Saccharomyces cerevisiae S288C: one gene and its partners. The gene in region 2 interacts genetically with the main gene of each other region. Each region holds a gene or a part of one and is shown on either strand. Other genes may lie near its edges. The genes, in order: SNF1, GSF2, RIM21 and ERG4.

Region 1 (8,319 bases), on a different chromosome or scaffold from region 2:
ACTATCCAGTAATACTTTTGTGGTGAACTTAAGAAGCTTAGGGGTTACCCCTTCTTCTTGAACTAATTTTAAGAAATAACAACGAGGAATAGTGTGTATTTTTAATTACTGATCAGGCCGCATGAATATACTCACCTGTATACGTAGCAAAATTTCAGTCTCCTACTGTATATACGTCTAGATGGACTCGGTGACAAATTTTTTCTGGAATGACACCTATAATGCTGGTACTCCAACTAGATCAACTCTCAAGGGGAAGAAAGTGCAAAATGGCATAGATGGAAAAAGTCAGGCAAAGAAAGAGAGCATATCTAGTGGTTCTAGAACTAGTGATCCTACACGTGGTAGTCTGCCATCTTCCAGTGGACAGCCAACTAGTGGTGGCGGTTTTCCCTCGACATCAAACATCCAAAAGATGATGGCAGATACCCTGGTAGAGAAGATAATCAAAATGGCATTACCACCATCTTCCAAAACGGCTGTTGATACAATTCACCATCGTATGGTTGCTGGTAAAGAAAGGCCTAAGCTGTCTGTGCAGATCACGAGTAGGAATTTTATACAGATGAACTCGAGACTAGGGGTACCATTCATGATTATGGATGAATTAATAAAGATATTAAACTGGACTAACCCAGCGTATACAGTATCTATCATGTTCTTATACACGCTCATTATATTGAAACCTTTTCAAATGCTTTCTTCGCTCCCTATATTCTATTTGTTATTCTGCGTAATGGTCCCGCAATACCTTTACATTCATAAGCCAAACCCTACAAGCTATCTAGATAATAATCAAACACCAGCACAAGGCCCACCTTTGCGAAGACCTGAGGTTCCTAAACCAGTCCCTGAACTGAGCCAAGAATTTGTCTTAAACCTCACGGATTTACAAAACCATATGCTGCTATATGTTAAATTCTACGATTTTACTTTACTCATATTACAAAAGTTTGCATTCTTCACCAACGAGGCTATTTCGTCGTTTTATTTTATTGTATTGTTAATAATAGCAACATTAAATTTTCTGTACATGGATAAATTTATCAAGCTCATTCCAATGAGACCCGTACTGATACTGCTAGGTTGGGGTTTTTTTATTGCCTCGCATCCGTCCAATCGTGAATATTTGTTGACTAAATTGAATTCGGAGGAGACAAGATTAAAAACTTTGACTATAAGTACTAATCTGGAATCTAAGATTTTGCAGCATTTGAAACTCATTGAGGCTAGGGAGCACCGACTTGTTATGATCTTTGAGATCCAAAAGTATCTTCCTGAATACAAAGAATGGCGCCCAGTTGGATTCTCTGATGACGATTATTCTCTTTTCTCTAGTTTGAGAATATACCAGAGGCGTATTGAGGAAAATTCAGTGAAGTCATTAGAAGAAATTGAGCCACCTAAGGATTGGGAATGGGAAGCCAATTCTCATTGGGTGCTTGATTTGGATCCAAAAGAATGGGTAGAGGACGAATTTATTCAGTATGTCGAGATAGATTCAGAAACAAAATGGGTCTATGACCTCAATCTTGATGGACAAAGGGGCTCATATAGAAGGCGAATGTGGACCAACAGTTGCGTGCGGAAAAAACTGGATTCTGGTATTTCTTCAAACCTTGGTGAGGAGGAAGTAGTTAATCCATTGAGGGAAGAAACATATAGGCAAGGCGTACATGGCGTGACGAAGGGTTCAATGAGTGGCGGTCTAACTCACAGTAGTGATGATGACCGCGCTGATGAGGAAAGTATAAACGGTACTATTCCTAATCTCAACAATATCGACGCGGATGCATCTTATCCGTCAATCGAAGAGCTAACAGACACTCTCAATTCAACTATATAAACTTGATTTGTTATACTATATGTTCACTGATGATACAGTCAACTTTTCATAAAACTTTCTAATGACAGTGACGAACTTTTCTTCTTTTCCATTTTTTTCTCTTGATTTCTTTTCGATAAAAGGTTTGTAAGTGAGTTCAACTTTCTCTTCTTGGATCTCTCCTTACCAGTACTAGTTTTACTCTTTTGGGGCTTCTTTACCGCGTACGAAACCTTCCCGCTGCTGGTACTATTGATCATCGGACTAACATCTTGTCCAAATGTTGGAACAACGAACTCAGATTTCCACTCAAACAATTTAGACTTTTCACAATTCAAGCAATTAACCTGGATACATTTTTTTGGTCCTTCCATACTCTCGCCGCCAAGTTCGTCGGAGTCACCTTGCTCGGTATTAGTCGTTAACTGAAGACTTGCGTTAAAATTAGGAACGTAAACACACCCGCAATGGGAGCAAAATTTCCCACTTTTCAGTTGTTCTGGCAGCATGATTTGATATCGCTTCACAGAATTATGAAAATTTTTATAGTATAGTCCCGATAACGCTCTGGAATTCAGTGTTGGCAGTACATGTAGTAGGTTGTATTTTTGTCGCAGACTCCGTTCTTGATATTTTTCTGCCTGGTCTTTATTCATTTTTGGGATCCTTTTGTTGTACGATTGTCAAAGGTTCAGTATTTTTATTGTAGCCACTAGTAGTACTCATCTCTATTTTCACATAGAATAGCGTTTTCAATTTTTCTCATAGAGCGTGAAATTTGCTTTTCATCCGAAGAAATAATGCCAATAAAAGAACATTCACATCAATAAATTATGTTCAGGTTTATTTAATCAAGATTGTTTACTTTATACAAAGGGATATTATAAAGATGTTGCAAATACGTTACGATACATAAAAAAAAGGGAACTTCCATATCATTCTTTTACGTTCCACCATCAATTGCTTTGACTGTTAACGGCTAATTCCATAATTAGTTTTGTTGTTAAATGTAAAAATGGGTAGGCTGAAAAAGTACTCATTTCATCTTCAGAAATATTAGAAACAGTAGTATCATCTCCATAACTACTTTCCCAGCCGTCAAATTTGAAATCCACCAAATAATTATTGGTTTCAATTTGAAATAATTGAATTACCATTTTCATTAAATCAGGTATTTTTTCATTAGTGTTTGTCTTGTTTCCAATATCATATTTCCACCTTAATTTGATAGTCCATAAATCCTCTTCAGATGGCTTGGCCCATTCGGCACCCAAATTCTTCAAGGCAATATAAATTTCACCCATAACGTCTAATGGATATGAGCGAGATCGTATACCAAAATGCCATCTCGTTTTAGATTTTTTCGTTACAAGAGGAGATATTTTAGAGGCAGCTGGCGAACCTTGTGCTAACATATTAGCTCTGTGGATCTGAGGTAAAGATGTAGGCAAAATGGAAACTGTAGAGTCTTCTTCTTTATACTGATCCATGAAGGGTGATTGGTGATATGTCCTTTGTTGAGTGATAGCACTTGCCATCCTTCTTGCGTGTTGCTTGGCAGTTTCATGATCTACTTGACTCTTTTGATGGGATTTGCTTTGTTGTTGAAAAGTTGGAGGTGACTGGGACAGAAAGGTATCCAGTTCATCACTGACGCTTTTGTTTGCCTTCATATCCTTGATCAAAGATTTATTCTCCTTAATCAACATGTACGCGTCCCTAATTTCGTTGAATGCAGGAGTGTCTTCTGATGATTCTAAGGACTCATAAATCTCGTCTTTTTCGTAACCCATGGTCGATGATAAAATATTGACAAGGTTGTCATCAATTTCATCGTTATCTGGGCTGCTGCCATCCTTTTTTGAGTCATTATTTTCATTCTCTTCTTCTGGGTGTGGTTTCAAATCTGGTGGAAGTAGATATTCTGGCAGGTCAACTTTGAACCAATCGTCTTGCATAATTTCATGAATGCTTATTCTGTTCAATGGATTAACGATTAACATTCTTTTGATTAGCCCAGCAGCTCCAGGAGATAAAAATTTAGGCAAGGTGTAAACACCGTTGCTGATATTCTTGAAAAGCACTGGGATGCTTTCATCGTCAAACGGTAGACGACGACAAAGCATAACATAAAGGATAACCCCACATGACCACACGTCCACTTCTGGGCCTGCGTACAGCTTACCGCTGATAACTTCAGGAGCCGCATAATTGGGAGAACCACAAGAAGTCTTTAAGAAATTACCATCAGTCATGATGTTTGACAAACCAAAATCGGCAATCTTTACATTCAGATGCTCATCTAGTAGTAAGTTTTCAGGCTTCAGATCTCTATGGACAATTTTGTGCCTATGGCAGTACTCGACGGCACTGATGATCTGCTGGAAAAATCTTCTTGCCTCTTGCTCGCTCATTTTGTCTCTCTGAACAATATAGTCAAACAATTCGTTCCCGGCGTACTCTATAACCATAATGATTTCATCTTTGGATTTGATAACATCATACAGTTTGATGATGTGGGGGTGTCTTAAGAGTCTCAGATAAGATATTTCTCTTTCAATTCTGCCCTGCATATCACTCTTTGCCAAAACCTTCTTATTAATGATTTTTAGAGCAACTTTTTGGCCCGTAGTGGTATGATATGCCAATTTAACTTTACCAAAGGACCCCTCTCCCAGCGTTTTGACGATTTGGTAGTTCCCGATATGTGCACCATCCGCTAAGGACGACTTGGGATTGTTTAGCGTCGAGTTGCTTCCGCCATGACCGTGATGGTGGTGGTGATGGTGGTGATGGTGGTGGTGGTGGCTAGAATTTGCATTGGCAGGTGCTGTGTTTGTGTTGTTGTTACTGCTCATGTTGACTTTATTAAGGGAGTGTAGCAAAACTTGTTACAAAAAAAAACTTCTATTTCTTTCGCTATGATTATTGAAACAGCCTCTATATATTATCAAAAGCCAATGACACTGAAACAATTTCTATTGTCGTGCTTTTTTTTTTTTTTTCAGGCTTCAATCTATTGTTTATCGTTATACTTCCTGAATGACTGTTTGGACACGAATGCGCAGTAAGAGGAAATGTGAAAAAAGAATATTTCGATAAATGAAAGTTCTGGTAACAAGCCTACAGTACTAAGCCCAAAGCTATGTCTTGGCCCCTATAACGCTACCTGTTGATGTGCCATACTCTTACCAACTTTCTTTTACGTTAAAAATTTCCATCCCCTTCCGCTACGAGAAAAACTGCAGAGGGTAACTATGACATGTACTTTCTAATATGGGCCTATAAGGACTATATACATATGACTAACATTGAGTAAAACCAGGTCTCGAGTCCCATCATCACGCCCATCCTTTTGCATCCACGCCGCCACGCAATTCCTCTTTTTTTGAAGTTACTTGCGTCATGTGGGACATCATATGGGACATCATAGCCTGCAAGATCGAGAGTTAAATATACGACTAAAAGAAATAGTAGCACACTGCCATTTCCAGCTTTTAGTCCCTTGGGGAAGGTTCAGCATTTGATAGCAAATGATTGTACAGTTTATAACCGTATCTAAACGTACGGACATGTTTTTTCCTAGGGCCTCTATTAAAAAAATCTTTGAAATTTCCCTTCAATGCCACCCTTTTTTGCCAGGCATTGGTGGCCATGATTTGTTATGGCTTCCAAGAAAAGGTTTTACTACAGACGCCTTTACTACAGAAGATGCCTCTTCCTATCGTGATTTGCCCTCCAGACAAAAGCCGCGGACATAACGATGGCGGATTGCATTAGACAATGATTGCTATACGGAGGCGAAAGAGATAGCTAGCGACTTCTTAAAGGCGACATTGCTCCGCTACAAACGTGGTGGAGTTTTAACCCTACGAATTCAGTTACAAGGTTGAAGTTAGTGAGCAGCTTCTGTTCTGCCGTTTCTTGCGCAGTCTTGAACTTTCTTGGTCTTGCCATGTGGTCGGGATATTCTGTTCGTTTATAATTACTCCTTGCCACAAAGTGCACACCTATTTGGATATGGTATATATAAAGAGTGGAGGCTTATATCGGCGAGAGCGTGCGTTCTATCAACTCAAGCAAGTATACGGGTATACACAAGTATGTGGGATTCGTTAATTGTAAGCATCAACGATACGCACAAGTTGGGGCTGGAGGATTGTCTCGCCGTTTTTGGCCACGTTCCCATTACCAAGGCCGTCAAGCATGTCAGACTGACAGAGATCGACACGCAGACGTCCACGTTTACGCTCAAGTTCCTTCACACAGAAACGGGTCAGAACATCGAGAAGATTATCTACTTCATTGACAATGACACGGGCAACGATACCCGCACTGCTACCGGAATCAAGCAAATCTTCAACAAGATGTTCCGCATCGCTGCGGAGAAGAGGAAGCTGTCGCTCATCCAGATCGACACTGTTGAGTACCCCTGCACTCTAGTAGACTTGTTGATCCTGGTAGGCGTGGCGCTACCGCCATTGTGCTACCTCTATCGTCCTGCACTGCACGCTATCTTTTTCCTGGTCCCTAATCCTGTGGGCTCCACCTTAGAGGCGTGGCTGGATAGTGATCTTGTGCTGCGACTCATCATTGTTGCCGAGTTCCTGACTCACGCCCTCGAGACGCTCATTTTCGTCGTCCCTAGGCTCAAGTACTACCGTGTTCCTGGCGAGTTCGTGCCCGAGTGGCTTCTTCTAGGTCTCCTCGAAGGTTACGGTCCTGCGAGACGTCTAGATACTAAGGCTCGCACTCTTGGCGAAGGGTCAGTTAATTAGTCCGAGGCCTTTTTTCATTTTGTCTCCCTATCCGACTGGAAAAGTTCTAGCGAAAAGTGCAGCAGACGCTGCAGCAACAGGAACAATTTCCGAATGACCCACCTGCGGTGGTGTGGCACACGCATTCTGCATGTCTCAATAACCTCTAGAATTATCTATATACTTTTTAGTAAACACAACTTAAAACCCTTTTGTCTTTTCCAACATATTTTGCATATAATTTTTGTAAAGGTTTTTTTCTTCTCTTGAGTCCACTCACTATTCGAAAGCAATATCAACAAATAGAAGCTTTCTTCTATTTTTAAGGGAAGGAATCTTTAAAGTACAAGGAACAGAAGATACTAAAACATAGGGGGAAATGGTGGTACGAGATCAAGATGAGGCGTTGAGAAATTCTTATAAATATGTTAAGCTGTATGTCAGGCAGGACCAGCTGGAGGATACGGTGGACATACTCGCTAAGCAGGACGAGGACAAGTCCAACAATGATGACAGGCGCAGTCTAGCCTCGATATTGGACTCGAGCAGTTCCGTCAAAAAGAAGGGGAAAGGCAGCAACGAAAAGTACCTACCATGCGTATCTTTCAACACAGTTCCCAGATCAAGGGTATCTTCGCCCTTAGATGAAGAGAAAAGAGAATTTCCTGGCGTGCAGATCTCTGCAGATTATACAATGGAGGAATATTATGACGACGAAAGTGGCTTTACCTCGGACAACAATGCCGACTACTTCTCCGGGAATAGCTATTCGAGTAGGCGAGAGGGCAGTGCTAGTCCCGGCAGGTATTCTTCTCCACCTCCTGCCTCTAAAAGAAACATCAAAATAGGTAAGATGTTTAAGATTTCTGAAAATGGTAAAATTGTAAGGGAAGACTATCCTACTACACCCACCGATATCAATGACGCTCTTGTGATTAGTAGGGCGTATGCCAATTGGAGACAACTATGGATCAAGAAGAAAAATCAGATAGATCATCGATTAGAACAAAAGCGCGATTTCTTCAATTACCCAACAATACTGTTTCCTCCAAACAAAAAAAAGTCGTCTGAGGGCGCTACTCCCACAATAAAATTCAATCCTCCCATAGAAGACGGCTTTACGCCTTTGACTAAGTCTCAAAAGCGGAAAGAGCGTGTTTTGAGCGAAAAGGTTGGGTTCCCGAACACTCCTCGAACGATATTGTGCCACATCAGCGGCAGGAAACATACTTGGGTAGCACTAGATTGGGCGCTACGAACTTTGATTCAAAATACAGACCACATTGTTGTGTTGGCAAACCTGCCCCGCCTGACTAAGAATAATTTCGAAGACAATGATTCGATGAGTGAGCGAAAAAGAATGCTAATGATGATGGATGATAGCAGGAGTGTTAGCTCAGCAAGAAGATCACGATCCAGATCGAGATCACGATCCATATGTACAAGAAGGGCACTTTCTCTGGGGCCTGAGGAATCTGACAACAAATTAAAGCACCAAAATTTTATCGAGTGGACATCTGGTTATACGCAGAACGAAATAGAACGTAAATTGCAAGATCTTTTTGATTATGTTACACTCATAATTCCGCAAGATCGTTCTGTCAAGGTCACTGTCGAGATCCTAATTGGCAAGACTAAAAAAACGCTTCTTGAGGCAATAAACATCTATTTACCTGATTTCTTTGTATCTAGCACTTTGAGGTGGGAGAGAACAGACAGCTTAGTTCGTTGGAAATC
Region 2 (7,734 bases):
GTTAGCCACTTAATATACATCATCCACGTATTTTCATGGTAAAGACAAGGAATCAAACATCTGTCAAAAACGGACATTACGAATTCTTTATCCAAGGATTTTGAAGGATCCGTCACAAATTTTAAATATCGCGACCAATTTTCCAAATCATCATTTAACACTTGGCCCAGGTTGAAGAAGGGCTGTTTGATTTTCGATTCGAACTGCCAAATTTCATTTACTGTTGTTTGTGTTTTTCGTAAAACTATATCAATATTCCTTGTTGTCTTCAAATTTTTTTCATTTAAAAACTTCTTGTAAGATGTGAAAAACCGCGCATACTGATGTAGAGGAACTTCAATAATGTACTCGTATATTCTTTGAACGTTATGCCAATTCTTCTGCCCAACTTCAAATTCTATAAACTTGTCCCAAAAAGGGTGTGATAGAAACTGCTTGCCAATAAGATCCTTTGCAATTTCAAAATTATTCCTAATAAAATCCGTTTCGTTCGGGTTATTAACACACAACACATTCAAATAATCACACCATAACTCCAGAGAAGTTGGGAACCATTTGACCGAGGTGGCCAGAACAGCAATCGATTTCTTGAGACCAAATAACTGGTACTCAATAGTAGCAAACCTCTTCCAAAATCCAAACAATAAAGGGTACTTACGCAATATTTGCCATAAAATAGTTTCCAAGGCCAATTTGATTGAATCATTTGGATTGCCATATTTAACCACTGTTTGCTCTATAACATCTACCATTTGGGTCAACGAAGAAATATCTGACCAGTCTAAACCACGATATGCTTGTACTAATGCTGTGTTGTCTTGAAGGAACTGGGTGTCCAAACCTCGAAGGGCATCAGGCCTAGGCTCAATATCTTCTATTGTAAAATTTGTTTCATCTGGCATAACGAAAGACGGATTGCCAAGTATCCAATAGCAGTAAGGGCCAAAACTTTTTGTTGAACAAAGAAATGGCTGTGGAAGGCGCGTTTTTACTTTAGGACTTTGAAAACTTTCTTGCGTAAATTCTGTTTAAGTCTGAAACTTTCAACTCTGTATTAAATTTGTTTTAAGATGTGCGACGGCGACGTAAAATGGTAAAGAAAAAGAAAATGAATGATAGTAAATCATACTGAAAACGAATGATCTGAAACAATAAAAAAAGATATTTGTATATAAATTATTCAGCCATGCTCAAACCTCCAGATTAAAAATCAATAATGGATTAATTGAAAGCCCTGGAGCTGGCATTTTTTACCACATTGTCTAAGAGGGAAAGGAAAATGACAACAAAGCGCTAAATAATGGAATCAAGTTTACAAAAATTGAAATTCCAGGATATTGACATAAATCTTATTCCTACTGCGAAGTGGACCACAAAATTACAGTATATTCTATACACCTGGTGTCAGTCGATACTACATGTGGCCATGTTTTTTTCTGATATATACACGTGTATTAAATTACTGGCATTTAACACATGGTCGAACAATATCATCCAACCATTCTTGGAATTCCGTATTTCAAAATGGTTGTTTAGCGGATGCATATTATGCTCCTCATTAATATTAATTTGGGAGTTGGTAATTGGATTGAGAGTGTATAGGAAGAAAGAGATTACATCGAACTACATGAATGGCATTAGCAGATTAATAAATTGCTTGTTCAATTTCAAAAAGTATCAAATTTTCGAACTAATAGTGCTGACTGATGAGAAAAAATTCAGTAAGTGGTTATTCTTTTCATATTTTGAAATCAGTGGATGTTTGAGGCTATTGTTCGGTGACTCTCCAAGGCAAATAATCAACGGATTAACTTTGTGGTCAGTTTTACTGACAGTTTCGAATGAGACCAGTAGCGGAACCCATAGTACTCAAAGCCTAGGTAATTTAGATGACCTAAATGGAATAATAAACAAGATAAAACATATTGCTAAGACAAATTACGAAGAAAGTGTGATCTTGTCCTTCATGTTGTTCTCGTTTATCATATGGGTAATTTTAATAAGCAAATTAATTCTAAGCATAATAATATTCATCATTTTTATACGTCCGAGATTTTTGTCTAGTAAAAGGAAGGTTAAGGGGTATGAATTGAAACTACGAAAGTATGTGTCTAAAGTCATTGACGAGAATTTAAGTAGAACTGTCTACGAATTGGGAATATTGATAGATGATGAGGAAGAAGGGACCATATGTGGTGACAACAAAACGCAAAAAAAATTCGATTATGATAGTCCTGATTATGGCGACGAAAGCACAATACCGAGTTACTACTGCTACTCGGATGTAGAAACGTACGAAAGAGTATATACGCCCATAAAGGCATATTTCCCCCAGAAATACAAACATAAATACATATAAATGTAAACGAAGCTTTTTTTGACTGCAAAAATGCATTAAAAGTAAATCGATTCTCATTTATTGTATATATATTGTATATATTGTATGAAATATTTATAATGATAATGATAGTAACAAAAACCATTGATGGCTATAAACAATGAAACAAAAAAAAGCACTACGAAAACAGTAGATTCGTGAGGAATTGAAAAAAAGAGTGAAAAAACTAATAAAAACAACGAGAGTAAATAGGATAGTACAAAAATACTAGGAGTAAAAAAAGGCCCTCTAGTAGTAGTAATAGTAATAGTAATAGTAGTAGTACTAGTAGTAGTAGTAGTAGTTAAAGGCTATGGTTGAATAAAAAAAAAGTCTGGATGGTAGTGTTTTGGTTTTACAATTAATTAGATTTTTTCAAATCATTCTTTTTTATACCAAAAGTAGCATCATTGTTTGATGCTTTCTCTTTCTCATCAGCAATTTCTCTTCTGAGCTTAACTAGCGAGGCCAGTTTTTCATCTGGTTCATAAATACCAAACCTTCTAAACCTCCTAATTTCAGCATTCATCTTACCAATATCCCCGTCATACTCTTCCAAGATCTTCTTTAGATTGTTTTCCAGCTCCACAAAGTATTCTTCACTTAAAATGAATTTCCGTTCGGTTTTAATAGCCGTGAAAGTGGAAGCAGTGAACCTATCTTCTAGAGGACTTTGGAAACCCTCTCCAGCCACAAGTTGGATACCTGGTGCTGCAGCTTTCCTAATCGCGCCCGCTCTATAAGCAGCAACTGCACCACCCATCTTATCTATGACATAGTTGTAATAGTTAGTCTGGTAATCGTCGTAAGTAGCTCTCTTAGCACCAATCCAGCCCAGAGAGCGCAAACGTGTCTTTAAGTCAGTAGTGTTGTTATTGCCGCCAGAATTCTTAGCGCCGTTAGCAGAAGGAGAAGTTAAATCTCTCAAACTCCATAACTTGTAAGGATTGAAGCTGATGGGGTTGGCAATGCCTAATTTGAGGAATAAAGTAATTATGCCCACTTTGAAAATGTGCATGACAAAGAAAAGCCATTGAGCTACGAGACTAGAATAGTTTGCCTGAACTTCTTGTTCGAGTTTAGCGGCAATTTCAGGTAAATCCATGTGCTTGGCTACAGGAATCAATAGTCTAGACAATTGATTAGTCAAACAAATACCTGGGGTTGGAGAAATGGCGTCGGGCAAATCGGTATATAGCCAGGCCAACATAATAATGGTGTATACCCATATGTTTTTCTTGGATAGCTTCCACTCCGGAACAACTAGCTGACCAGGCCACAACTGGTCAATAAGCGGCTTGGAGTCATTCAACTCCTCGAGATTTTCTTCGTTATCAGCTTCATAATGGAACATCAAACAACCACCTTCGGACAGGTACCCTGGATGGATAGACTTATAGAACTTTACGGGCTCCTTCTCATGGAAAATTGATGGTCTCAGCACCATTAAGTCCGCCAAACCCGTCTTGGAAGGGAAAATCTTCTTAATTTTGTTATTTATGGTGTCTTCATTTGACACCTGAAACGCATAGTCGTGCTCGACATCTGCGTTAAGTCTAATGTAAATCTCCATGCTTGCAATCGCCCTCTATCAAAACAAAGTCCACCGATCTCTGCTGCCCCTCTCTAAAAAGGAAAACAATGGCACCATTAGCTTCTTTTCTCGCTTTTTTATAATATTTTCCATCATTAAATGTGGGGAGGTGGCAAAATGGCAGTAGTAAGCTTGTCGCCCCACACGGCGAAGATGCGTAAACTATTTGGGCAAGCTAGCACAACGATGGCTTATGACGGTTTAAAACGAGAGGCTGAAAGAAGAACAAGGAGTGACCATAACATAACAATGGTTGCTAAAGATGATGAGCTATACTTGTACCATCTTACTTTAAAGAAACAGACGAATTTCGTGCACTCCTGCATCGGACACTTCGTCGATCTGGAAGCAGGGTCCAAGCGTGAGCAGTCGCAATTGTGCGTAGCTACTGAGACGCATTTAGAACTTTATGATACTGCAGATGGGGAACTAAAGCTTATTGCCAAGTTTCAAAACCTGTTTGCGACGATAACCTCGATGAAGTCGCTGGATCTGCCGCATTCAGGGTCAAGGGCAAAAGCTTCCAACTGGCCCACTTTTCTAGCGCTAACTTCCGATTCTGGTAACCTAAGTATCGTGCAAATCATTATGCATGCAGGTGCTCTTAGACTTAAGACTTTAGTGAACCAGCCATTGACGAGGACCACCCTTCGAAGAGTCTCTCCCATATCATACATGGAAATTGACCCTAATGGGCGTTGTATCATTCTCTCATCTGTCGAACAAAATAAATTGTGTTTCCTCGTTGATTATGCTCAAAAATTGAGGATTTCGTCTCCATTGGAAATCATCAGACCCCATATGGTAACGCTGGATATGGCAGTTGTTGATGTAAATTTCAATAATCCATGTTTTGTTACCTTAGAAATCGACAATGCCGCTACTCAACTATCAGTACACTTGATATTTTATGTCCTCGAGTTGGGTTTGAATCACATCGTCAAGAAGGCAGATTATTTAGTTAACCCATCTGCCAATTTCGTACTGAGTTTGCCAGATCTATCGCGATATAATATAACAACTTCGCTAAGCGACAACAACTATGATGCTGACTATGATACCCTTTTCAACCCTTTTGTTGTCATAGGCTTCGAAAATCATATTCTGGTAAAGGATATGAACGGATTTTTCAGCCTGAAAGTGGAAATACCCAAAAGATCTATCACAAATAGCCGTCATAAAAATGTAACAATCATATCAGGCATAGTGCAGAAATTGAAAAATGATTTTTTCGTACTTTTACAATCTAACCATGGCGATCTTTTTAAGTTAACTGTAAGTCCAGACACTAATGATAGAAATAGACCTTTAGTTCAATTGTCCTACTTTGATACAATCCAAAATTCACACCAATTACACATTTTCAAAAACGGTTATCTTTTTGCACTATCTGAAATGAATAACAACTTTCTTTTCCAGTTTGAGAAACTTGGTGTAGAGAAAAATGATTTTTCTAATGTTTTAACCTCAAAAGATCCAAATAAGTCGCTAGTTTTCGAACCATCCATAAAGTTGCAGAATTTGAGCATATTATCGCAACAATTGAATTTGAACCCTTCAATAAAATCTCAAATTGTCAGTGATTCGCCACTGTCTATCGCCACTAAACATTTTACAAACAACAAGATAATAACTTTAACAAATGCTGTGAATTACTCTAATTTGATATCTACTAGTTTACCCCCGAACGCAACCAAGTTATGGCTAATACCCGATCCTGCAACAACCGGCGATAACAATACTCTTTTGTTCATAACTTTTCCCAAGAAAACTATGATACTACAAATTGACAACGAGTCCATGGAGGAACTAACACCGGATGAAGCAACGCGTTCAGCTTTCAAGCTCTCTCAGGACACAACAATTCATACATGCCTAATGGGCTCACACTCTATTATCCAAGTATGCACCGCAGAACTAAGACATATCGTACCGACTGGTAAATCTAGGTATTCTAATAAGCTGACTTGGGTGCCACCAGCGGGAATTCGTATTGTATGTGCCACGTCCTCGAAAACACAACTAATTATATCATTATCAAATTACGAATTGGTTTATTTCAAGATAGATGTATCTTCGGATTCGTTAATCGAATTAACCACCCACCCAGAATTGGACACAATGCCCTCTAAAGTTGCGATTGTGCAAGATACGCAGCATGCTGATTTATTAGCCATTGCTGACAATGAGGGTATGATCAAAATAATGTCTCTTAAAGACCAAAAGGAAGATTTTTTAACTGTAATAAGTTTGCAATTAGTTAGTGAAAAGATTTCTGACATGATAATGGTTAGAGATTCCTCAATAGGACAGCTTAATTTGCATGTAGGTTTAGAAAATGGCGTTTACATGAAATTTCATATAGGGGATGTTGACGGATCGTTCACTGACATAAAAAGGCGATTCCTTGGCTTGAAGCCTGTTTCCCTTTCGTATTTGCGTGAGATATCTGTATCACTAAATAATGAGGAAGAAGAAGAAGAAGAAGAAGACGATGATGATGAAAAAGAAGAAGAAGAAATAAATAGTAGTGGAGCTAAATGGATGTCATGCGTGGTTTGCCATTCCTCTTCTACATGGGTAAGCTACACGTGGAAAAATGTGTGGACCATACGGCAGTTAAAGGATCAAAACATGCTAAGTTGTTCCAAATTTGTTAACGCAGATGTTGCAATCAACGGTGTTTGTTCAATATCGAGCTCAGGACGCTTAAATATTGGCAGAGTTTCCAACTTTCCAACTTTGGATAACTGGTTTCACGTTCATGAATCAAGTGTTAACAAGCAAGAGAACGGTGGAGGAGATGAAAGCAATGAAGAGGAAGAAGATGAAATGGAAGAAGAAATGGAAATGTTACAAATATCTACATTCCGACCTCGTACTATTTTATCATTTCCCAATAATCCGAAAAGCATTTTGTTTATTGATAATCACAGTGGTAAGAAACAATGCCGTATATCACTGCAAATTGATGGTGAATGCTTAAAGTTTGGCAGTTCGGATCATTTATACAAGATACTGGACGATATCGATTGCGTTTCCGCTGCTATAATAGATTTCACAAGACAAGCTGATCATTTGATCATTTGTGCTGGCGACAAAAGGCTGTTAACATACAAGATATTAGTTAACAAAGATAAACTATCTTTTGATATTGAATTACTTCACCAAACAGAAATCATTTCACCAATACATGCTATGTTGAAGTTTAAAAACTTCTTGCTGACAGCCATGGGCTCCACTATTGTCCTTTATGGTTTGGGGAAAAAGCAATTATTAAGAAGGTCCGTAACACAGACCCCGGTATCCATAACAAAAATTGTGTCTATGCACCAGTGGAATTATGAAAGACTGGCCGTTGGTGATATACATGAATCTGTCACTTTATTTATCTGGGATCCTGCGGGGAATGTATTTATTCCGTACGTAGATGACTCTGTAAAACGCCATGTGACGGTATTGAAATTTCTAGATGAGGCAACTGTTATAGGCGCTGATAGATATGGAAATGCGTGGACTTTAAGGTCTCCACCAGAGTGCGAAAAAATCATGTCAAATCATGATCCCAGCGAATTATCTAATGGGGCCATCAAGTACCCACTAGACGTCATCACTTTACAGCAGAAATTACCCAATACTTATGATTGCAAGTTCAAGTTTCAACTACTGAACCACTTCTTTGTTAATGATATCATCACTGATTTCCATATCCTGGACAGCCTTTCAAATTCTGATAGACCTGGTTGTATCTATATGGGCTTAC
Region 3 (3,788 bases), on a different chromosome or scaffold from region 2:
AAGCAACTCATGAACCAGCTCGCCGTGCACAAAGTAATGGGCGGAAGTCTGTACAAGAACTCATTCTTTTGCATATTGAATAAAACTTTTTTATTTGACGGAGAAAAAGTTTTGTTATTTTTTTGGTGGTGGTCAATGGAAGGCTTAATGTACGACCAAACTTCTGGAATATATTCTTTGACACATAGCATCAGTACCCCTTGGTCGATGTTAACACCTTCTAGATTGATATTATGCACCCCCGGTAGGTATCTTGAAGTAATAATCACTAGCATCCAAAAGGCCCTTTCCTCGTCTAAAAATAACAATAGCAAGCCTGCAAGAAAGTTCATAGATTGACAATAGCCAATCTTCGGATTGTAGAGAGAGAACGCAACAAGCACCCGGCGTAAAGATTTTATAATCGGAGGTCCCTCTTTGTTATGCAAGCTACTTTGGAAATGTATATTGTCCGGAAATGTTCTATTCAAGTCACGTTCAATAATATCCAAGTCTTGAACTTGTTTTTCATTAGGGTTTTGTTTCTTGATCTGCTTCATCTTTCGTAAAAGTTGTGAATAGACGCCTTTATTCTTGTTTAACTTCTCTTGCCCTCTAGCGAAATGCCACCATGCATTTCCTCTCCATTCCGCTGGAATGCCCTTTCTGACATACCTTTTTAACCGTTCACTCTTTGATGGAAATCGTGAAGGAGAATCATCGGTCACTGGCAACCCACTTTTCTCCAACAGCAATTGCCATTTGTGCTTACGGCGAACGCAGTACTGCGAATATTCTACCCACCACTTATCGTATTCTGCTTCAGATATGTAATTATTCTGTTTTTTGAAACCGTATCGATCAAAATGGGTATTGTTGATTCCATTGGAATTCGCACTTGTGGCACTAGCGGCACCCTCCAATTCTACACGCTGACGGTTGTCATCATCAGGAACCAAATCGAGGTCATCACTGTGCACTTCCTCCAGATCTTCGTTACCATTATCGCCATTATTATCATCATCATCCTCTCCTTCGGCACGTTGGGATTCCACTTCGTCTCCATACAGGTCAATAACGCTTAAATTCCCATCATGTTCAGAGGGGGATGCTTGGCCCAAACAACTTGGTTCCACAGAGCGATGATCATTCGCTCTAAAGCTTCCGTTCACCAGAGCTGAGTCGCTAGAACTATGATCTGAATGCATTTTATCATGAAAGTTAGGAACAGACGGTGATTTCACCGTAAATGCCCCTCCTAGCCTTTTGTATGGATGCGCCAGTACCGTCCTATTTTGCAGGGAGAACCTCTGTTGATCGTTCTGCATGCTAATTACAATGGTTCTGGGTGCGCAACTCTTTGACTCCTACAAAGCTTCTAGATGTCCCTTTAGCTATTTTTAGCTACTTTCTTTCTACGTGACATAAACGAGGTTTGATCCTGTTAATTCTGATACTGCCCGAACAGAAAAATAGCAGCTATTGAAAGAGAAGATGGAACCCGTTGTATCGGCGAGTAAAGATAAGTACTTTAGAAGAGCAACCCACATCGTTTAGTTACAAGAAAGACAAAAGACTGGTACTACAGATTCGGTGTCCTTTACCTGTTTTCTTCTTTCCTGTGCGCACTTAATCAGTCATTTTAGACTATCGTTTTTAGTAGCACATAAGGAGGAAGACACTCGATGAATAGTCGATTCTGCAAACATGAACTTGTGGAGACATAGTCCAGAAGAATTGGCTGCTTACAATAGCTGTCATCCAATGAAGCTAGGTTCAGGGGTGCTGATACAATTGCCTCTTTATGACAATTCGGCAGTATATGCAGAAGATATTACTTTTAGGAGTTTCTGCTGTGAAAGAGTGCCCGTTTATGTATCTACGGTGCTAAGAAACTCTTCCCCATATAGGTATCTTGATGAGGTGATCAATGACTGGCAAAAATTCATTCAAGTAAGCGATTATGTCGGCGGTTCTGCTGAGTATGCGATTTATGCTGTGATTTTGTCGATAACTTCTAATTTTGTCATCACAGTGTTCCTGACTGTGATATGCTGTATAAATATCAGCGGGCGCGCATATAAGAGAATTCTACAACTACTGAGGATAGCCTCGTTGTTAGCCTCGTTGAACTTAACGATTTTTATCACGAAGGTGTTGCGGAGATTGGAAAAAGAGCACAATGTCTATGGTGTCGTTCGGGCTCATTCCATTATGCACATCTTTTCCGATGATATGACATTTGTTGTCTTGGATTTCTTGGCTACTTTAATGTTCCAATTTTGCCAAGTCGGCATTGTCATTAGGCTATTTCAAAGAGCTCAGGAAAAGAGAATAATTTTTTTTATTGGGGTGATATTAACAATAACCGCAAATATTTTATGGGTAATTCCACCGTTTGCTAACCATACTACAAAACACAGAAATGACTGGCAGATTCTGCGGCCATTTGTTTACCTTTTCCGTATTGCCATCGCCACGTCATATGCATCAATCGTCATTTATCACATCTGGCAGAAAAAAAAATTGTGGTTTAAATTCAATCAAATGGGTTTACTTACGCTATTGACTATTCTTGTGGTGCTTCTATTACCGGGTTTCTTCCTTGCCGATGTGTCGAACTTATGGATATCGGAACTGGGTGAAGTGTTTAACACGACATGCTATGTCACTTCGACCGTGATCACATGGGAGTGGCTGGATAGATTAAATGTTTTGGAAAGAAAAGAGGAAGCGCAAAGCATTTTGGGAAGACCTATCTTCGAGGAAGAGCAACAAGACTATCGGTTTGCCAAGTACGCCTTAAGGGTTCAAAACGCTTTAACCAGGAGGGAATCTCAGGACGCATCAACGGATCGGCACGATACGTCAAGTAATTCGGAAGTATGTGATTTACAGACCATATCACGCTACGACCCAGAAGATCAGATATCAGTGGGCAGAAGCATTGATCGAATGCATTTCAATGATAGGGGAACTTATAAAGATGTAGCGCTGAAGAAATTAGGCTATGCGCGTGATAAAATTTTATACTTTACAGACCAAATCGTCCAGAAAAGCGTAGGCCACAATAATAGCAGCAGCTCGAAAAATGAAAAAACCAAACAGAGAAAGGCCATGGTCAGGAAACGGTTGGGATTAGACAAACCAGGCATATACATTTATTCGACAAAGGATGTCGTTTTCAATTCAGATGAAGATGACGATGAGAACGCGGAAGATGAAGATGACGATGAATATGAAGTTGGCAGTGAAGGCAATAACAATAGCTCTGCCACTTTTACCAGCGACCATATAGGCCATATTTGAAGGACACAGCAGAAACAGTATTACAACAAACCTACATATTTATATATTCCATGCATGCTCAAGATGCATATGCATAATATTTACACGAATTGCGAATATGTCACATAATAGAGCAGTGGATAAGTACTCAATGCAAAATCACTCATAGTAGTCCCATTCTTCAAATGCAGTTTCCAATAATTGTGTATTCAAATTAGTGGGATACCTCGTATACCTCACGCCGCTCCTAGTAACAACATACTTGTCATTGAAGCTGACTTGAACGTCCTTATGTATAGTCCTCCCCCAAAAGGTATTGTGCCTCTTGGTGTATCTTAACCAATGCATTCTCTTGAAATTATGAATCGGACTTGGTTGAATAATACAATCTACGCCATCTTGGAAAAAATATGTGGATGGTACTTCATCTGATAACCGCACTATGATTTTTTCAATATACGCCTTGATTTTGTTTTCAAATTTCTTAGAGTCTCTGGAATTTGTTAAAGTTGACAATATCG
Region 4 (7,803 bases), on a different chromosome or scaffold from region 2:
CATTATAATCTTCATGCTAAATCATATAAGGGCAGAGACGAAGCAAAGCGAAAAAAACATATTACAATCATGTCGGGTGCTGCTGCTGCATCTGCTGCTGGTTATGACAGGCACATCACTATCTTTTCCCCCGAGGGTCGTTTATATCAAGTAGAATATGCCTTTAAAGCGACTAATCAAACTAACATAAACTCACTAGCGGTCAGAGGTAAAGATTGTACAGTGGTGATAAGTCAGAAAAAGGTCCCTGATAAACTGTTGGATCCAACTACTGTTTCGTATATTTTTTGTATTTCAAGAACAATTGGTATGGTAGTGAACGGACCAATACCGGATGCAAGAAATGCGGCCCTAAGAGCCAAGGCTGAGGCTGCAGAATTCCGTTATAAATATGGTTATGATATGCCATGCGATGTATTGGCTAAGAGAATGGCTAACCTTTCCCAAATCTATACTCAAAGAGCATATATGAGACCATTAGGTGTTATACTCACATTTGTTTCGGTAGATGAAGAATTGGGTCCCTCCATTTACAAAACTGACCCTGCAGGTTATTACGTTGGCTACAAAGCTACTGCGACAGGACCAAAACAACAGGAGATCACAACAAACTTAGAAAACCATTTCAAAAAGAGTAAAATCGACCATATTAATGAAGAATCATGGGAGAAGGTGGTAGAATTTGCTATTACTCATATGATTGACGCACTGGGTACCGAATTTTCAAAGAATGACTTGGAAGTCGGTGTCGCTACAAAGGACAAATTCTTTACCTTGAGTGCTGAGAACATCGAAGAAAGGCTAGTAGCAATTGCTGAACAAGATTAACATACTTCCTGCCACAACATAATGTGAAATCACACGCGTCAACACTCAATATATGTATGGACACGTTTCATTTAGGATTTATTTTATAGGAAAAAGTAGATCAAGTAATAGAAAATCGAATCTTTTCAAGCCCTTTTGTCGCGTAAATACATCAATACTTTTATATACAAACTGTAAAATAAGTTAATGAAGTGGATAGAAAAAGAAAATAACTAGAAAACATAAGGAATAAAGACGTAAGGGCAATGTTTACAATACTCATCCCAATCTTTTCCGTACTTTCTCTTACATTTTGCTTGGTCTCTGAAGGCTCTGTGAATCAGGACAACAAGGAAGAATACTGGGAAAAACCATGGGAACACCGAGTTGAACCCGCAAGACAAGGCCCAAACGAGAGATTGAGTCCAATCGGCAGTGTAGTGAATTTTTCTAGCCAAAGTGTACCAACCATCAATCAATAGGTACGATCCATTGGAGGTAACCATATACTTTGGATTCTTCAAAATTTGGTATGGCAAAAATGGGAAAGTCTTCCTACCTGTCTTGTCACCAGACATTTGCTTTCTGAAGGCATTTTTCTGAGCATTTGCCGTGTCAAAGAAGTAGTAGGCGCATAATAGAACAACGTACAGCGAAACATTGTACAGTGTAGACCAGTGATATTCAGATGGGTCATGGTAGTACAAATACAACGTACAATGACAGTAAGTGTATGGGACACCGGCAATATTCCAGAAGATCAGCATAAATCCAAACTTTTCGTAAGCCATGTCCCAGGTTGGAACAATCAATTCTTCACCTTTAGCACATGCGTTCGCGTACAACCAATGAGCTAACATGACAACCCCCAATTGTGGTGTCACATAGCCGTAAGTCTCCCACTGCTTCAAACAGGCACCCAAAGTGATAAAGTAAAGGGTGAACCAAGGTAATCTAACCTCGAAAAACATCTTCAAGTCCAAAATCCCCCACCTAGGGTTTAGTGGAGCTCCCATGAAGAAATCATATAGATGGTTTCCTGTCATTCTATGATAGTCATGTGAGATAAATAAAGTCCATAAGTACAATATGATGGAGAAGGCAAACCCTGAAATAATGGCACATGTCATGATCCTCCCAAAACGGTCAATAATGACATACAATCTAAAAAGATTGGTAAAGTGCAAAACCAAGACCAAAGTGGTAGTTACATACAAGGTCCACATGGCATTACAAAAGTAAGGCAATTGTTTTCCCTTCAAATGAGACAATGGTTGACCTTTTGTCCAAATCCCGGGCAACGTATAGTAGAAAATGATCTGAAACACCCAAAATGTTAAGAAAATAGTCCAGTCATACTTTTCTGGGATACCGTTCTCCAAGACTAACTGGTATAGGTGCTTGATAAAGTGCATCCACGATTCACCAGCCTTGGGTAGGGCAACCTTACCGTGATAAAATTCCGCACAAATCCACATATAGTACATTAGCAGTGGAAACCCGATCAGCATACCAATAACACCAGTAGTCCCACCAAACTCATATTCGATTTCATTTGGCTTCAGCCATTTACCCTGAGGCAGGAAATTAACCGGTTGCTTGGACTTTTTCTCCTCTCCCTGCACCTGCAGCTTCTCACTATTATCCTTTGCCATAGCGATGCTAATCTATGTACACTACGTAAATATCCGTATCTGCCTATCTACATAACTGAACTACATTCCTACGTTATTACCACTGTTTGGTAATTTTTCCTCGAGGATATATAATTCTGCTTTTCCATAGTAACGCCAAACGATCGCGTAATACCGGCAATTACGGGATGCACGAAAATAGCGCCAAGGAACGAAAAAGAAATGAGTCTCGTTTAGTTATTAAACGAGAAGAAACGAGCCCTGATTTACATTCTCAGGGTCCAATAGGGCTTTGTTGGAAACAGACGCATACCCTAAATGGAGTTTCTTTTCTTGTTCAAGACCTAATGAGTGGCAATAAGAGGCGCTAATTAAAGCTCTTCAAAACAACCTTATTCGCCTATTACACATGATCAGCCACTCTTTCATTGTCAACAATAGCATGATAGCAGGACCATAGCGGCCATATAGACATTACCAGGAGTGAGTTTTGGCTAAAAAAAGACAATTTGCACATCACTTGCTAACTATTCATCTCAGCCAAGAATATACAGAAAAGAATCCAAGAAACTGGAAGATGCGAGGCTTGACACCTAAGAACGGTGTACATATTGAGACGGGTCCGGATACAGAATCGTCCGCGGACTCCAGCAACTTTTCTACAGGTTTCAGCGGCAAGATTCGTAAGCCAAGGTCGAAAGTAAGTAAAGCGTGCGATAACTGTAGAAAAAGAAAGATAAAATGTAATGGGAAGTTTCCCTGCGCAAGCTGTGAGATATATTCATGTGAGTGCACGTTCAGCACTAGACAAGGTGGCGCTCGAATAAAAAACCTTCACAAGACGAGTTTGGAAGGTACAACCGTACAAGTCAAAGAGGAAACAGATTCCAGTTCGACTTCTTTTTCTAATCCTCAGCGATGTACAGACGGGCCATGCGCAGTGGAACAACCAACGAAATTTTTTGAGAATTTCAAGCTAGGTGGTCGTAGTAGTGGTGATAATAGCGGAAGTGATGGGAAGAATGACGACGATGTGAATAGAAACGGTTTTTATGAAGACGATAGCGAATCACAGGCAACTTTGACATCTCTACAAACCACTCTGAAAAATTTGAAGGAGATGGCTCATTTAGGTACACATGTAACCTCAGCCATCGAGAGCATTGAACTTCAGATAAGTGACTTGCTTAAGCGATGGGAACCCAAAGTGAGGACCAAAGAATTAGCAACAACGAAATTTTACCCTAATAAATCAATAGAAACTCAATTGATGAAAAACAAATACTGTGATGTGGTACATTTGACAAGATATGCCGCTTGGTCAAACAATAAGAAGGACCAAGATACTTCTAGTCAACCTTTGATCGACGAAATCTTTGGTTTGTACTCTCCTTTCCAATTTTTGTCACTTCAAGGTATTGGTAAATGTTTCCAAAATTATAGATCCAAATCCAAATGCGAGATTTTTCCCAGGACCGCCAAGGAAACCATATACATCATGTTAAGGTTTTTCGACGTTTGTTTTCATCACATCAACCAAGGCTGTGTCTCCATAGCTAATCCCCTGGAAAACTACCTACAGAAAATGAATCTTTTACCTTCAACCCCATCTTCGATATCATCTGCAGGGAGCCCGAATACAGCACACACAAAATCGCATGTTGCGTTAGTGATAAATCACTTACCGCAGCCCTTTGTGAGAAATATAACCGGAATAAGTAATTCTGAGCTACTAAGCGAAATGAATAATGATATCAGCATGTTTGGCATTTTATTGAAGATGTTGGATATGCATAAAAATTCCTACCAGAACTTCCTAATGGAAATCACATCTAACCCCTCCGTGGCTAAAAACACGCAGTCAATTGATGTCTTGCAGGAATTCATCCATTATTGTCAAGCTGGAGAGGCGCTAATCGCCTTATGTTACAGCTATTATAATTCTACATTATACAACTACGTGGACTTCACATGCGACATAACGCATTTAGAGCAACTTCTATACTTTTTGGATCTGCTATTTTGGCTATCGGAAATATACGGTTTTGAAAAAGTCTTGAACGTAGCAGTTCATTTTGTTTCAAGAGTTGGTTTATCAAGGTGGGAATTTTACGTGGGTCTTGATGAAAACTTTGCTGAAAGAAGAAGAAATCTCTGGTGGAAAGCTTTCTATTTCGAGAAAACTTTAGCCTCTAAACTTGGCTATCCTTCGAACATTGATGACTCCAAAATCAATTGTTTATTACCTAAGAATTTTCGAGATGTTGGGTTCTTGGATAATAGAGATTTTATCGAGAACGTCCACTTAGTTCGCAGGAGCGAAGCTTTTGACAACATGTGCATATCCGACTTAAAATACTATGGCGAATTAGCTGTCTTACAAATAGTCAGCCATTTCTCATCATCTGTTTTATTCAATGAAAAATTCACGTCAATTAGGAATACATCAAAACCATCTGTTGTTAGAGAGAAACTACTCTTCGAGGTACTCGAGATTTTTAACGAAACAGAAATGAAATATGATGCTATCAAAGAGCAAACTGGAAAATTGTTCGATATTGCATTCTCTAAAGATAGTACTGAACTCAAAGTTTCAAGAGAGGATAAGATTATGGCTTCAAAATTTGTTCTATTTTACGAGCACCATTTCTGCAGAATGGTTAACGAATCTGATAATATTGTCGCCAGATTATGCGTGCACAGAAGGCCCTCAATACTAATTGAAAACTTGAAAATATACCTTCACAAGATTTACAAATCATGGACCGATATGAACAAAATCTTATTAGACTTTGACAACGATTATTCCGTATACCGTTCGTTCGCCCATTATTCTATCAGTTGCATTATTTTGGTATCACAAGCATTCTCAGTGGCCGAATTCATTAAAGTAAATGACGTTGTGAATATGATTAGAGTCTTCAAAAGATTTTTGGATATAAAAATTTTTTCCGAAAATGAGACCAATGAGCATGTCTTCAACAGCCAAAGCTTTAAAGACTATACAAGAGCTTTTTCTTTCCTGACAATCGTCACTCGTATCATGCTTTTGGCATACGGAGAGTCCTCTAGCACCAACCTCGATGTTATCTCCAAATATATTGATGAGAATGCGCCAGATTTAAAAGGTATAATAGAACTTGTCTTGGATACAAACTCTTGCGCTTATCGATTTTTATTAGAACCTGTTCAGAAGTCAGGATTCCATTTAACGGTCTCACAAATGTTGAAAAATAGAAAGTTTCAGGAACCACTAATGTCAAATGAAGATAATAAGCAGATGAAGCATAATTCGGGAAAAAATTTGAATCCGGATCTCCCAAGTCTTAAGACGGGCACTTCATGCTTACTAAATGGCATTGAATCGCCTCAATTGCCATTCAATGGTCGCTCAGCACCTTCCCCAGTGAGAAACAACTCACTACCGGAGTTTGCACAATTGCCTTCATTTAGGTCATTATCCGTGTCTGATATGATCAATCCCGATTACGCGCAACCAACAAATGGGCAAAATAATACGCAAGTCCAATCTAATAAACCAATCAATGCTCAGCAGCAAATACCCACTTCAGTACAAGTACCATTTATGAACACAAATGAAATCAATAACAACAACAACAACAACAACAACAATAAAAACAATATTAACAATATTAACAACAACAACAGTAACAATTTTTCTGCAACTAGTTTTAATTTGGGGACACTAGATGAATTTGTTAATAACGGTGATCTTGAGGACCTCTACAGTATCCTGTGGAGCGACGTTTATCCAGATAGTTAAACGTATACGTTTGTATAGATAAAAGTTCTCAAAAACTTCCTTCCTTTTTTTTTTCTTTTGAGTTTACTTATTTAAATAAGAACATTCTGTTTTCTAGGGCATCTCCTTCTCTTATTTCTTCAACACTATTTACCAGTATACCATAAAGTGAAAATTCCTATTTTTTTTGCTTTGGATATTCATTTGATCCTCAACGAAAAAAAAAATGATGTATTTTAGTATTGTACAAAAGATATTATATGAGGCTAACGTAAAAAAAGCTAAACTGAGGATATATGTATCAACTATGAATCTAAATGTAACATTCCGATGATTCTTTTACCATGAGGTGTATTTCTTATGGGGCCCACCAGTAAAGGCGCCACAATCTCTGATAGTCTTTTATAGAGATAGTCATTTTGCTTATGAGAAATGTCTAATGCTGTCTGTAAAACGTAATTTCCGTAGCTATCATTCAACAATGATTGAATACCCGTCTCGCCACCATTATTTAAAATTTCCAGAATCATTGGCTCCGAAACAATAGCTGTCTTCAAGATTTTTTCAATCACATTTGATCCAAATTTATGGATAGAAAGTTCGATGGCTCTTGGTTTCAACAGGTGGACAATTTTATGCGTATAATCATATTTGTTCTTCTCAGCCTCTTTGGTAATTATATATTGCACCACATAGTTGCCAAATGGATCCAAAGTTAATTTATCAACAAGGGCTAGCAACTTATCACACAGATTGTCACATTGTTCTGTAGTCCCATGATCTAGACAACGTTGCAAAACGCAACACCCGTGTCTATGAGTAGCAATATCAATACAGCTATCAGAGATTGCGTCAAAGATAAACTGGAAGTTTTCAGGCTTCAACCTTTGCAAACATTTTTGAATAACATGATTACCATTTAAATCCTTACTCAACTGGACAGTATAAGGGCGTAAAGAATCAACAACAATCTGTGCTTCTTCATCTGTTTTGATGCATTCAATGAGTTTTTGTAATGCCCTAGTACCATGAGGGTTTAAGGAAATTTCGACAAAATGAGGGGAAGATATTTTTGTGAGTACGATTCTTTGTTCTGTGGTAACCTCTTCCAATAGCTTCTGGATCAAATAATTACCGAATGAATCAGTCATCAATTCAACCGTATAATCCTTAGTTTCTTCAAAAATTGCGTCCGCCGCCTTACTGCCGAGAATATCCAACTGCTTTTGCAGAAAACGACAACCATGTTGGTCTTTACACAATGAGTGAATACTTCCGATATATTGGTCTAAAACTGCGTCCGCAAATCTCGACGACTCCTCAATTTTACGTTGTTTTTCCGCGCTGTTGCTGTTGGTAGCATTACTGTTATTATTATTATTGTTATTATTATTATTATTATTATTGTTATTATAGTAGCCATGATAACTGTTTTTCATATTTTTCATTTTACCAACGTTAGAACGACCTGTGTCTTTATTGTTGTAATTAGAATTACCAATGTTGTCATTGTCATTATGACTTGACATGCTATTGTTATTACGACCATGATGTTTATTATTGGCGCTATTCATTAACGGCATATGATTTTGAGCCAAC

The links.
Region 1: mutations in GSF2 (region 2) and SNF1 together harm fitness more than expected from each alone (negative genetic interaction), as found in Saccharomyces cerevisiae (4 studies listed by BioGRID, with this or other methods).
Region 3: mutations in GSF2 (region 2) and RIM21 together harm fitness more than expected from each alone (negative genetic interaction), as found in Saccharomyces cerevisiae (3 studies listed by BioGRID).
Region 4: mutations in GSF2 (region 2) and ERG4 together harm fitness more than expected from each alone (negative genetic interaction), as found in Saccharomyces cerevisiae (3 studies listed by BioGRID).

The regions. Positions count from the first base shown.
Region 1 is NC_001136.10:1,408,737-1,417,055, reverse strand, and holds SNF1 (AMP-activated serine/threonine-protein kinase catalytic subunit SNF1), read right to left. Parts: upstream 4,684-8,319; coding exon 2,782-4,683; downstream 1-2,781. Other genes in the region: PEX29 (Pex29p), read left to right, coding at 182-1,846; SNM1 (Snm1p), read right to left, coding at 1,885-2,481; YDR476C (uncharacterized protein), read left to right, coding at 5,929-6,603; JIP4 (Jip4p), read left to right, coding at 6,962-8,319. UniProt on the Saccharomyces cerevisiae protein: Serine/threonine protein kinase essential for release from glucose repression.
Region 2 is NC_001145.3:174,642-182,375, reverse strand, and holds GSF2 (Gsf2p), read right to left. Parts: upstream 3,951-7,734; coding exon 2,739-3,950; downstream 1-2,738. Other genes in the region: PRP39 (Prp39p), read right to left, coding at 1-902; pheromone-regulated K(+) transporter PRM6, read left to right, coding at 1,301-2,359; U2 snRNP complex subunit RSE1, read left to right, coding at 4,071-7,734. UniProt on the Saccharomyces cerevisiae protein: May be involved in the secretion of hexose transporters from the endoplasmic reticulum. Involved in secretion of GAL2 and HXT1.
Region 3 is NC_001146.8:78,159-81,946, reverse strand, and holds RIM21 (Rim21p), read left to right. Parts: upstream 1-1,686; coding exon 1,687-3,288; downstream 3,289-3,788. Other genes in the region: Rab GTPase-activating protein MSB3, read right to left, coding at 1-1,307; MRX6 (Mrx6p), read right to left, coding at 3,427-3,788. UniProt on the Saccharomyces cerevisiae protein: Required for the proteolytic cleavage of the transcription factor RIM101 in response to alkaline ambient pH. Required for growth at alkaline pH.
Region 4 is NC_001139.9:467,514-475,316, reverse strand, and holds ERG4 (delta(24(24(1)))-sterol reductase), read right to left. Parts: upstream 2,463-7,803; coding exon 1,041-2,462; downstream 1-1,040. Other genes in the region: SCL1 (proteasome core particle subunit alpha 1), read left to right, coding at 70-828; drug-responsive transcription factor PDR1, read left to right, coding at 3,019-6,225; PUF4 (Puf4p), read right to left, coding at 6,510-7,803. UniProt on the Saccharomyces cerevisiae protein: C-24(28) sterol reductase; part of the third module of ergosterol biosynthesis pathway that includes the late steps of the pathway. ERG4 Catalyzes the last step of ergosterol biosynthesis by converting ergosta-5,7,22,24(28)-tetraen-3beta-ol into ergosterol.